Linked DNA regions of Drosophila melanogaster. Changing the gene in region 1 together with any one later gene gives a genetic interaction. Each region holds a gene or a part of one and is shown on either strand. Other genes may lie near its edges.

Region 1 (4,797 bases):
TCTTTTTTCACATAGTCGCCAGTTGAATCTACGAGATCAGATAGAATCGTTTTGAGGGCGTTAATATTTTTGGAGGTATAGGTTTCTGGTCTCTGAAATATTAGGCTTCTGACAGTAGAACCAGTTCCTGGTGAGTTTGCCTTGGTACCGCTTGGATTTTTCAGTTTTAATATTGTGACTACTTTTGCACTGATATCAGAGTTTCTTTTAGTATTTCCAATAAACTTATATGTTTCTGTCAGCTGAACATTTTCAATTAAGTGGTTTACAATCCTGGACTCCTTTATATAGTTTGCCTGCAACAGCAGGCTAGACGTAATGCCAGCTTTTTCGTTAACTTTGCCGGACACCAAGCCACTGTTTATCTGCTCGCGATGCGAACAGCTGTTTAAGTTCCGCGCCTTCGTAATTATATTTGCGTTACCCACTTTCGATGTTGATGTATGTGTAGGGCACATGCCGAAAACGTCAACCTCATGTTCCGCTTCTATTCCCGATTGAAGCAATGATACAACTGCGCGCTTAATATTCAAAGAGTAGTCCAAGTCGCTGGAGTCTGAGCAAATTTGTGGCTCTAAAATTCCACTTACCAGTGTAAACTGAACTGGCTTCTGAATGCTGTTCAATATCTTTTTCTCCACAGACTCTTTTGTATTAGTTACCTTAACGGAACTTAACTGTAATGTGTACCCACAGTTTCCTTTCGCAAAAATTTTTGCAGATCCGGACACTTTAAGACTTGTATCATCTGAGTCGTTCGGAACGTCGCTACTCGCTCCAATAGTTAAAATACTGTCGAAGGAATAGTCATAGTAGTTGCCGGGTATGTACTTCAAAAGTCCATTGTCAGCTGTGGCATAAAATTGTTTAGTATATAAATACATACTTTTTTTGTATTACTTACATTTTGGACATCCTAGATTGCAAGCGTTTTCTAAAATTAAAAAGAAAATGTTTGTATAGAATGAATTAAGGAAAAGTAATCTCCAAGTCGCCAAATAAATATTAGTATCACCAGAAAGAATTTTAAAATTTGGGTTCCCCCTTTACCACTTATGTATTTACCTGAACCATCTATAAGGTCTATAAATCGTTATCAATGATTTTGAGTTTTAAAGGTGCAATGTCCTCTAATTTTATATGTTTTGATTGATGGGACTCAAACGATTTTTATGAAATATATGATTTTTTAACGGAGCTATTGGCAAAAGAATTTCTCTTGCTATCCGTTTTTAACAATTTACTGAAAAAGAATCCAGTTGGACATTGCGGTTTAACTGGCAAAAACAGCATTTGTCAAACTTTGATTTTTTTTTTTTTTTTTTGAATATTCCAAATCCTTATAACTTTGACTTTTTTGGAGCAAATTTGAAGTTTTGTATTCTAATAAATTTTATAGTATTATAGTCAATATAATATAAAAAGTGTAATTTTGTAAAGTAGAGAAAATCATTCATAATTAAATCTCCTGTAAGAGATTTAAGTAGTTAAACCATGTTTTTACACGATCGGCTCATTTATTTTTGATTTAGTTTACATAATCTATATCATTCGATAAAAATCAAGATTTCAATAATTTATGGTTAGCTTAACTTGTAGCACTTACCAGCATTTACAGCAATTGTTAAAAGCACAGAAGCTAGGATTCCAATCAAAGCGATATTGTATTTCATCCTGGCCATTACGCTGGGCCCCTTAGGGATAGCCTGGGAATAGCAAACGCCACAATTTGTATCACATTTTTATTTTACTACATGTATTTTTTACCTTTACCAACACTGGTCCAATTTCACTTTGTATATACTTCTTAGATTAAGAAACACACAGACCATCCGCGAATTAAACCGATTCGAATACAATGAACGTTGTCTACGAATTAAGCCGGATTACGTGAAAACACTCACTTTAAATACCTCAAATAAATCAAGAACTCACACATCTACAATTGTGCCACATAGTATTTAAGTGTATGTCTTGTAAATAAATACAAATACAGCGAAACAAGTACAGATGAAGACACATTGTGAGAGACATGCATTTAAACGATTCTTTATCACCAGCGATGGGTGCTCAGGCCAAAGCCGAGTGTATTTAATATAATCTCATTATAATCGGACTTCGACATACTCGACCCTAGCTTAGTACCTTTACCTACTCTCAATTTTCATCTAATACATAAGACAAAAATAAAATAAAGAATAATTAAATATAGATATAATTAAATAAAAATATATCGCTTTGCATAATACGTGCTCAACTTACAATGGCTGATATAAAATATAGAATATATAGAAAATGTAGACGCTATAGTACCATTTCCCGTCTTTCACCTACATTTTCTCGATATACCAGTGGAAAATGACCAGAAAAATAATAACATGAAAAAAAATCACAAAATTTTTTTTAAGTGTGGGCGTGACAGTGAGCGACGTAAAAATCGGTAGATTGTAAAATCTGATTGATAAATCTGACTGATAACAAAAATGCAAAATATCAAACATTTTTCAAAAGTGTGGGCACGGACGGACATGCCCAGATCGATTTGGTAAGAAATCCTGCTCAAGTTTATATATATATATATATACTTTACAGGGTCGTTTATGCTTGCTTCTAAACTTGGTTGTTTTGGGTGACCACCCCCTTCTGGCCATCCTACCAGACCTATTATACCCAATTAAGCATTTTAATTTACACTTCACCGCATTTTCTGGCAAGCCATATGTTACCAAAACCACCCACAGTCTCCATTAAAAATGTAACTTAAAAGCAAATATTGTTCGAATCACTCTATTACTTTAGTAGTACAAAATCCTTTCATCTACCTTTTCAATATTTTAAATATGGCTTTGGGCTAATAAAGTAATAAACAAATCGCAAATTACGTTTTCCTCTTAAAGGTGTTGAAAACTGTAAGAAATGCAAAGTATAATTGTGATTATAAATGTTGAAAACTGATATTTATATACTTGACAGTCTCAAAAGTGTGTAAACTTGGAATTTGTTGTTTATTTTCTTGTATAATTAATATTTTTAATTCGTTTTTTGATTCATAAGTAAAATAAATATTGATTAATTATATTTTAGAAAAAAATTGCGTTTAATTTAAGCAAAGAACCCTTAGTTTTTACCTTTAAAGTCAAAAATTCAACTTATTTCACAGTGTGTAAACAGTTTCTTGACAAACTGTATGTGCAAATAAGAAAACTAGTTGTAACTCTAAAGCAATTATGTTTTATGTATAGGTATTGAGAAATTCGATGTAACAATTGTTATCATTCCAAATTTAATGTGAATGCGCAAGTACACACATACATACATACATATATGCATTTGCAGAGATTGTCACTTGCAATCCATGTTTGCACACATCTGTAATGGAATTTGTTATACATTTTTATGCCCTTTTTTCATATAGATGAAAGTATGCTTACAAATGCAAGCATAGGTACATAGGTATTTAAAATATGCATACACATATTTACACATGTATATTTATTTGATTTTGAACAGATGTATAAAATATGTTTATATGAAAGTTCGTTCCTGAATTGCAGTTAACGACTGATAAGAAACTTTAATCTGTAATTAAAAGTTGCTGGAAAGCAAAACGCTGCTCGATAAGCACGCAGAAAGGCAGCCTGCGTGATCGGACAGAAAAAATTACAGTTCGAAAGAAGTTTACTCTTGTATTGTTCCCGGTTAGTAAATAAATCATCGTAAACGGAAGTCCACGCTTTGAAGATGATCACTAATAGTGCGTTGTGACAGCAGGAGACCACTGTTTAGAAGCGTAGAATAGGATGTCAGTTACGATTGTCTGATTACAACCATTTAAATCTTTTTTCTTTAACCATTAAAAAGTTAGATTACCGTGCCCACATTTTCTGAAAAGATTCCGCTGATGAATTGAGCTCTATGGCCGTACATATGTGAAGTGATTCCAAGTCAGCTTCCTTTTAAAAGTGCACCTTTCATGATAGATTTCCCATATTTAGGGTTTTTATACCACTTGACTAAAAAGGTATTTGATTAATTAATAATTATTTTGGCTCCTAATTATGTGGCTCCTTAGAAATCGGTCATTCCCCTATCCTTTACAATACTCCTCCACCGAGCTTAATTTCGCTTCGATTGGGCCAAACAATTAGACGATTGGGTGTGGTGTTCAAAAATATGGATATCGTTATGGTACTTATTTACAAGCAACTGTGGTTTGCAATCATTTTTATATTAACGAGGAACTTTATTCAATGAAATTAATATTTATATTCAGACCTCCACGGTATTTAATGTGAATTTCTTACATGAAGATAAGAAGAGAACAGAATTTTCTTCTTGAATATGAAGTAATATGACTTCGCATTTACATTTACATTTATTAGCAAATTAGCTGAACCAAATATCACGAAAAAATAAATTGAAAGAGCCGCACCAGATTTAATTTATTTTAAAATTCCTTTGTCTGGGAGAAGAACAAAAATGCAATTTCGGATGATGTTGAAACGAGATTTATTTCATAAAGTTAACTTATAAATATTTTTAATAACAGTGGTCGAGTGAGCGAATTTATCGGAAGCCACCTACATGACAGCCATTTGTTTTGTTTGGGCCCAAAGGAAATATTATAAAAATTTGAGTTAAAAATTTGTTCAGGGGTTTATCAATTATTGATCAGTTTCTGGAAAGCGGTGGAGTCGATATCGCCGTTCATCGTCTGTTTTGCCATCCGTTCGCTTCTACACAAACTTGTCTCACTAATTATCCCTGAATGAAACTTTCCCATAAAGTTTTCCAGTG
Region 2 (7,627 bases), on another chromosome or scaffold:
ATCTCTTGGCGCATTTAGAATTTAAGTTTTTTTTTTGCATTTTCCTTTTTTATTTTACGGTTTGGTATTACTTATAAACAAATTTCATATTATAGCTATAGTTTATTAGCTAGCGTTGTGTAACTTTCCTCCGCAGGGCCATTACTTACATTGTTAAATCGAAACGTTAATGCAATTGTTTTGTTGTGTATGTCTAACGCAATTTATATGCTCTCTATCTTAGTTACATGATTTTGTTGCGTAAACAAAGGGCTGCCCCAACTCCCAGCTCCCACATCTCGCATCCCATTTGCCCACCGCTCGGGAAATGCGCGCTTAAGTGTTTAAAAATCGGAAAGATATATATGAACACAGGCAGCAAAGTGCAGACCACGAAAGTATATATATATATATATATATATATATATATATATATATATATATATATATATATATATATATATAAATATATATATATAGATAGGGGAGTAGGCGGTACAGAAGGTTACATAATATAACATAGGAGGGCCTTATAAGTCAGAGCGTTGCTTAAAGCTAGAGAACTGCACGTGGTAATCGCAATCATTTTACCATCAACTTAGGTTACAATGTGGGTGCCTTGCTGTGTGGCATATGCTTTTGTATGGATTGGATTCGCTAGAGCTAGAGCCTATAGTCTAGGGTTAGGGACACTCGCTGAACGCGGTGTCCTTTGTTTCTTTTACACAAATATTACACTTACAATCGAGTTATTATGTGTTCATGATCGGTTCTGCATGTTCTGCCTGATTTGGTCTGGGACTTCAAGTTAACAAAGAAAAAGTTGAGCCGGCCAAGAGCAAATAGTCAAATGCAAAACAGAATTAAATGCCTGCGTGTCCTGCTAACCCTCCTCCCAAACCCTTCCGCGGACCCCTAATCAACCGCCGATCTATTGGCCAATCTTCAGGCAGGGATCTCAAATCAATTGAACAGTGCGGTTTGTTGCAGTTTCTTGCAGCCAGGTTGCAATCGTTTATGTTCTAATAGTATAAATTAAATTAATCATAGGCTAGTTAATTAATAATAAGCGCGCTCAACGTTCTAACATCTGGGAGCAGAAACCAAAATGTCAAAAAACAAACGAAAATGTACACACAAAAAAAGAAAAGCGCTGCGCTTTGCTATGCTCTGCTCTTCTTCTCTCACTGCTCTTGTCCTCCGTTTCTGGCAGGGACCTGGTCATCCTGCCGCTTGGATACATTCAACGTGTTTTACCGCATATATAAAGCAAGTATTATATATATTAGGTATATATAACTATATATACTACATGTATAGTTTGTTGAGTTCTGTTGTTGTTTGTCTACTGTGTCGTGTCCAGCGTCGCAACCTAAACGATAAAATATTATTTGGCGTTCCCCACGCCACCGCCCCCTCCGCCGCTCGGCATACCGCCTACGCCCACTCCACCGCCGCCACCACCGCCTCCCTGCCGCATCCGTATCGAAGGCCGACGCTCCGGCGTGTCGTACGGCGGTCTCGACGAGTTGGTGGCCGCCATCGAGTCGTCCATGTTGAGTCCGTTGCCGCCGATCAGTTGGCTGCCGTTACCGCCTCCATTGCCGCCCAGCATCGCCAGCGTTTGGCCGCCCTGGAGTTGCTGTTGCGCTGCACTGCCTCCTCCGCCACCCAGCGCCGCATTGACCTTGTGCTGCTGTTGTTGATGCGAGGAGGCGGCTGCCGCTGCTGCCACCGCCGCTGCTGCGGCCACCGCATCATGACCCGCCTGGCCGTCCGCTCCGTCCTGCGCCTGCTGAATCGCCTGGGGATTGCGAGGTCCGCCAAACTTAAGCAGGTTCCAGTCAAACACATAGTCGTAAGTGAAGCCCAAACGGTGGAACAAGTTGCGGAAGAGTTTGCGCAGGTGGCAGTAATCGGGACGCTGGTCGAAATGCATCTGGCGACAGAAGTTCAGATAGTTGACGAACTCGCTGGGGAAGCCCTTGCACAGCACCACAATCGAGGTGGACAGCTTCTTCTCCGAGATCCTCTCGTACTTTTGCCTCTTGTTGGCTGCCTTTAAGCCCTGCCAGGGCAAGGCGCCCAGATTGAAGTACATTAGGACGTAGCCCAGGGACTCCAGGTCGTCACGACGCGATTGCTCAATGCCCAAATGTGTGTTGATGGAGGCATAGCGGGCAGTGCCCGTGAGGTTCTTGTTTTCCCGATAGGGAATGTGCTTCAGCGACCGGGCATCGCGGAATTTCTTGGCCAGGCCAAAGTCAATGATGTACACCAGGTTGCCCTTTTTGCCAAGACCCATGAGGAAGTTATCCGGCTTGATGTCGCGATGGATGAAGTCCCGCGAGTGTATGTAATCGATGCGGGAGATCATCTGGTCCGCCAGCAGCAGAACCGTCTTCAACGAAAAGCGGCGTGAACAAAAGTTGAAGAGGTCCTCCAGCGAGGGTCCGAGTAGCTCCATCACCATCACATTGTAGTCGCCCTCGCTGCCGCACCAGATTATGCGGGGTATGCCTATGCCACCCTGCATCGTCTTGTAGAACTTTGACTCGATGTGCAGCTGGGGGTGTTTGGTGCGGATGCACTCCAGCTTGATGGCCACCTCCTCGCCAGTGTTGATCGTGGTGCCCAGGTAGATGTCGCCGAACGATCCCGATCCTATCTTGCGGCCCAGGCGATATTTGTTACCCACGCGCAGCTCCATTTTGTTACGTCTGTTTCTGTGGGTTTCTGTGTGGTAGAGTTCGGACTCCTCGGGTTCCTCGGATTTGCGTTGCCTTTCTGCGGGACCGGAGAATTGAAATTTAGTTTTAATTTTACAACACATTGCCTCGAAAAGAAGGCTGTACGCTTTTCTTACTCATAATACTACACGCTACACGAATTGATCGATCCCAGTTCAGATTAGCTGCGCTTAAAATATTATACAGATTTAAATATCTACGCCAAGGACTAAAACTTTTACTTTGTAATCGCGAAAGGATATTGAAAGGTTGCTACGATGCAGGCAAATTGTTGAATTCGATCAGAATGTAAATATTCGTAGTATTCTTAGTTGCTTTGACTAATCATAGAAATAGCAGCGGCGTCACAGGTTTTTACGAGTAAATATGAATCAAGTGACTTCGAAAATTCGGCTATTGACCACTAGCAACAATGTGTGATATTATTAGAAGAGATTATTTGCAAGCAACAACACAATATCGAACGCCTTGTTAGCGATAGTGATAAAATATTCGTCGGATTTTGTTTGCTACAACTTTTGATTCTTCTGACACTATATTGTGACACGTGATGACAACCCTGCTGTTTTGTACAGTTTGCTAAAAGTCTAATTTTGAGAGCTAACGGAGCTTCGTGAGTATTTTCCAACACTTCTCCACTTTTCTCACCTGGCACTGTCCTTTCGTCTGAGCTCCTTTCTTCTTCTTGTTCCGATTTGTTCAAGGCAGTCGCTTATGGCTTTGTATTCGAAGGGTTCTGTAATAGGAGGTACTAAGTTAATTTTTTTTTAGATCCTCAACATGGTTAATCGAAATTCGACCCGTCTCGCGATCACTTATATATAGAGAGTAATCCCCTGTTTTTATCGCATCTGCAGCGTAAGCCCGAAAAACGTGCAGAATTCGCTTTTGTTTGTGGTGATAAGGATTGTGGCACACAGACATGAAAACAACGCACGGCAACAATCGATATCGAAAATAGAAAACCGTTAGCTAAGAATAAAACAAGAGAGAGAGAGCGGGAGAGAAGTAAGCTTGGCTTACGTTGACAACACAAAAATAGCAGAGAAAAGCGTACCAAAAGCAATTCGAAATGCAAATGCACAGTGGGCAAAAATGATAAGAACCCGAACCTCGCACAAAGTAAAAGTTTATCTCGTATATTTATATTTAAGAGTGAGTGCGTCATTGCATTCGGCTGTGTGTATTGATTACGAATGGGGAAAACAACAGATTTAATAAGTGATGAGTAACGATAATTTATATGCACAGAGCAAAATAGCACTACTTTTTGACATTCGTCACATTATTGTTTTAGTCATTTTAATATTATATTGTACTATTATAAAATAAAGCAAATGTGCCGTAGTGCTTTTACATCCTTGAATAGATATAATTCTTTTTTTCAAGTGTATTTTTTACGTGACGACACCAGAAACATGGAGGTGAATCAGCAATCAGGAAAAGACAACGAAGAGATTAACAACAAATAGATAAAAGAGACGTGTGTTTGTGTATGCGTGGAGTAAACAATCGGCGACAAAAGGGAGAGAAGTAAAATAAAACGCAGCGACTGTGAAAATGCCACTTAAATGACACTTTCAGTGGTGGAAAGCACAAACAAATAGCGAAGATAAAGCGCATGGAAGTCAGAAAACGAAGCAACAAGCCGAAAGTTTTCACTTGCCGGTCAAATATCACAAAAATTTAGTTTAATTGTTTTCGGCGGCTCTCACTCACTAACCCCTTCCCACTCCTCTTTCCCACATTCTGTGCGCTTTCTTTTACCGCTCACGCATTTCGATCGCTCTCTCTCTTTCTCTCTCTCTCTCTCTCCTCCTTTTCCCGACTCTTTATCACTCACTCTGCGGTTCTAACCTCAAAACCTGCCTGTGTTTGTTGTTGTTTTCGCCTTGGCTTTGATTTATTTAACCGAAATGTACCGTTTTTTATTTGTATCTCCCATGTTCTACACAGAAAGAAATCACTGTATAAGCACTGTAAGTCAAATTGAAATGTGGTATTAATTTTAGGAGCTTTAATTTGTTTACTGGAAGGCTAGCAGGGAAAACGCGGTCTTTCCTATTGGTAACTAAATATTTCCCAGGGTATCCAGCAGTTGTTTCGGACCAGCGGGTAAACACGAATTGATTACAATTGCAAAACAGCTGCACGTTGCGTTGGCGGCTGCCGAAAAGCTTCCGCAAAAAAACGCACTGGAGAACAAAGAAGATACAAAAAACAGTTGTTCCAGCAGGCGCCACAAAAGTAAAAAGCTTAAGTAAACAGGGAAGAGCAAATGGAAAAACCAAAAACCAGAGCAAAACCAACGGGGAAACCTCAGAAGGGGAAGGAAACTTGCAATTAATTGTCAAACGCTAATGGCCTCCGAAAACTAACGGCACTCCACGAATGCACTGCGAATAACGGGGCTGATAAGGAGCAGCCGATAGCGGGTGGAGAAGGGAAACTTGAACGCACAGTGGAACAAATTCCGCACTTACCGTGGCTTGTTTTTCTTATATTCCTTGTTTCCTATTCCGCTTTGCCCACTTCCTCTGCTGGCGACGCTGCTTTTCCTTCTTCTAATTCGACTGAAATCGAAATCGAATTTTTTAATTGGATTGATTCTGCCACAATAATTTTCATTTTCTTTGTTTTAGAGCCCAGACGTTGTTTTTGTTGTAGTTGCCACAGTCGCACACAAACACACGCACACAGTCGCACTTTTTGGGGCCACACGCAAGCGCATTTTATGCAATAATTTTAATAATACTGCATTGCTGCCATATTTCAGTTATTTTTATCGTTTATCTTCGAGTCGGTTATGCTGTTCTTCTCTGATTTTATGGCCACATTGATTAGCATCTTGTTGCCAATCAACTCGAGAAAATTAAACGAAACCAAACGGAACTCGGACTCTTATTAAAAAAACCAAACTTATGCGAGTCGTTTGCCCTGGCAATAGATTCGTGCACACTAGTCGTCCCGCCCGCACTCGCACGGTTTCTACCGCGAGCACGTTGCTATCCCTCCTGCTTCAGCATTTTCACACCAACACAAAGACGAGGGCACTCACTCACACACTCGCACTCTCAATGAGCACTGAAATGCTGTTGGGAAATTCGAGTTTTCCTGCGCGTGGTAACCGCCGCTTTTTCGCTCGCAAACGGGTCTGTCGATCCGAAACGCTACTGACCACTTACGTTTTGCATCAACGCTGCGCTTTCGTTTCAATTTTTCTGGCTATTTCACATAGATTTCGACGATTTTTTACAAATTTACGCCATCTTGATATTCGCAGTGTGACCGCGCCGATAATGAAGAAAATTACCATCTGGTATTTACTCCTCAGCGAATGTCTAGAAGATATGTAATTGTGAAAAACTGTGATTCATATACTAAGTTAAGATAGTCCAAAGTTGGTTTCGAAGTACCACATTAAGAAAATAGCGCAAGAGTATTGGAAAATCAAAAGAAAAACGAAATTATATCCTTGCAGCTAGCCATAAGTTCAAAGTTCGAGTAACTGGAAAGCTGTGAAATAGCCAAGTTGACAACGCTGTTTTTGTTATATGGGCACACTAGTTCTTACATAGACCCAGTGCTGCCAGATGGACGAAAAATATTTTTGAGCTGCGCCACCTAGCGGATGAGTTGGCGAAAGTGGTATCCAGGTGGCGCCCGAAACAAAAGGTGGCGCCTTATTTCAGAAATGCAATTGAAAATATCTAAAGTTATTGAAAGTTTTTGAATTATGCATTCAAAGGCCCATCTGCTTAATTTTATTTTCAAAGAGAATACAATAAACAATACAAAAAAAAAAAAATCATTCTGAAATGATATTTATACTAATATACAAATTTGATAACTCAATAATATGTAAATAAAATTTATGTCTTAATTTGCAATGTTCTTAAGAAAAGTTGTTAACTCTTTTTACAGGCTTGTGCTCCAAATTCTCGTGTAAATAGAAATTGAAAATGGATTTCATTGGCATGTCTTGCAGTTATAGGTAGCATGCCAATTTTGATGTTACACAGATGTATCGAAATACCTGAAACGTATACTTTTATTGCAGCAATACGAATAAAGCAAAACACGTGTGAATTCCATTAGTCCGCCCAACCGCTTTCCCCATTTACCCTCACATCGTGCATTTTCCGGCTGTGTAACCCAAGAAACGATGACATAAAAAAAGGAAGCAGATCCAGTTATGTATGCATATATGAGAAAATGTGTTTTTTTTTTTTTGGGAGTATGTGCCAAGGTGTGTTTCTTTTTAAGTGGGGGTAGGGTAGATAAGCAATCACTCGAAAATGATAACAAAAAAAGGGGTGAAAAGAGTGTAACGATTCGATATTGGGGCTGGCAATTTAAAATGAAATATAGACAAAATAAATCACATTAATTGCACTTGCCTACGATTTTAATTTTCCATTGCTGTATTTATATACATTAGCCAGAATGCATTTTTTTTATGCAACTATAGAAATCTCCATTTTCAATTTATTGGTGAATCGTTCAAGATCTTCGTAAAAACCCGCCTTTGTCTCCCATTGGCTGGGAAAAAGAGAAAACAAAGCAATCCAACGAGGCAATTGAAGATACAACAAGTAAAACGAGAAAACAACTCGTTTAACCGCTCACACACACACACTAATTCAAAGCATATCTTTCCCACTCACACACGCAAAGACGTGCGATCGCCGACGAATGAAAATCGTCGTTATTTCGACCGATGGTCAACTACCAACAAATAAATAACGAAAAAAGTAAACCAAATATGTAGGTGCGAAGCAATAAAAACCGAGCGAGACGCGTGTATGTAAATGATCCATTCAAAGAACACTGTAAAAAAGTATGCCACATTATTGGGATACTAAGACAATTTATTTCCTAATTTTGTTGTATTTTTT

What was found. A genetic interaction does not mean that the proteins touch.
Region 2: of Zyx (region 1) and dco, changing one suppresses a phenotype caused by changing the other (phenotypic suppression), as found in Drosophila melanogaster (one study listed by BioGRID).

The regions. Positions count from the first base shown.
Region 1 is NC_004353.4:1,061,993-1,066,789, reverse strand, and holds the start of Zyx (zyxin), read left to right. Parts: upstream 1-1,788; 5' UTR 1,789-1,967; intron 1,968-2,408; 5' UTR 2,409-2,545; intron 2,546-3,870; exon of another isoform or gene 3,871-4,112; intron 4,113-4,797. Other genes in the region: apolpp (apolipophorin), read right to left, coding at 1-850, 905-934, 1,607-1,682.
Region 2 is NT_033777.3:31,055,163-31,062,789, forward strand, and holds the start of dco (discs overgrown), read right to left. Parts: upstream 6,049-7,627; 5' UTR 5,915-6,048; exon of another isoform or gene 5,303-5,914; 5' UTR 5,213-5,302; intron 3,481-5,212; exon of another isoform or gene 3,466-3,480; 5' UTR 3,378-3,465; intron 2,767-3,377; 5' UTR 2,690-2,766; coding exon 1,367-2,689; 3' UTR 1-1,366. UniProt on the Drosophila melanogaster protein: Serine/threonine-protein kinase which is involved in the circadian rhythm pathway, viability and planar cell polarity.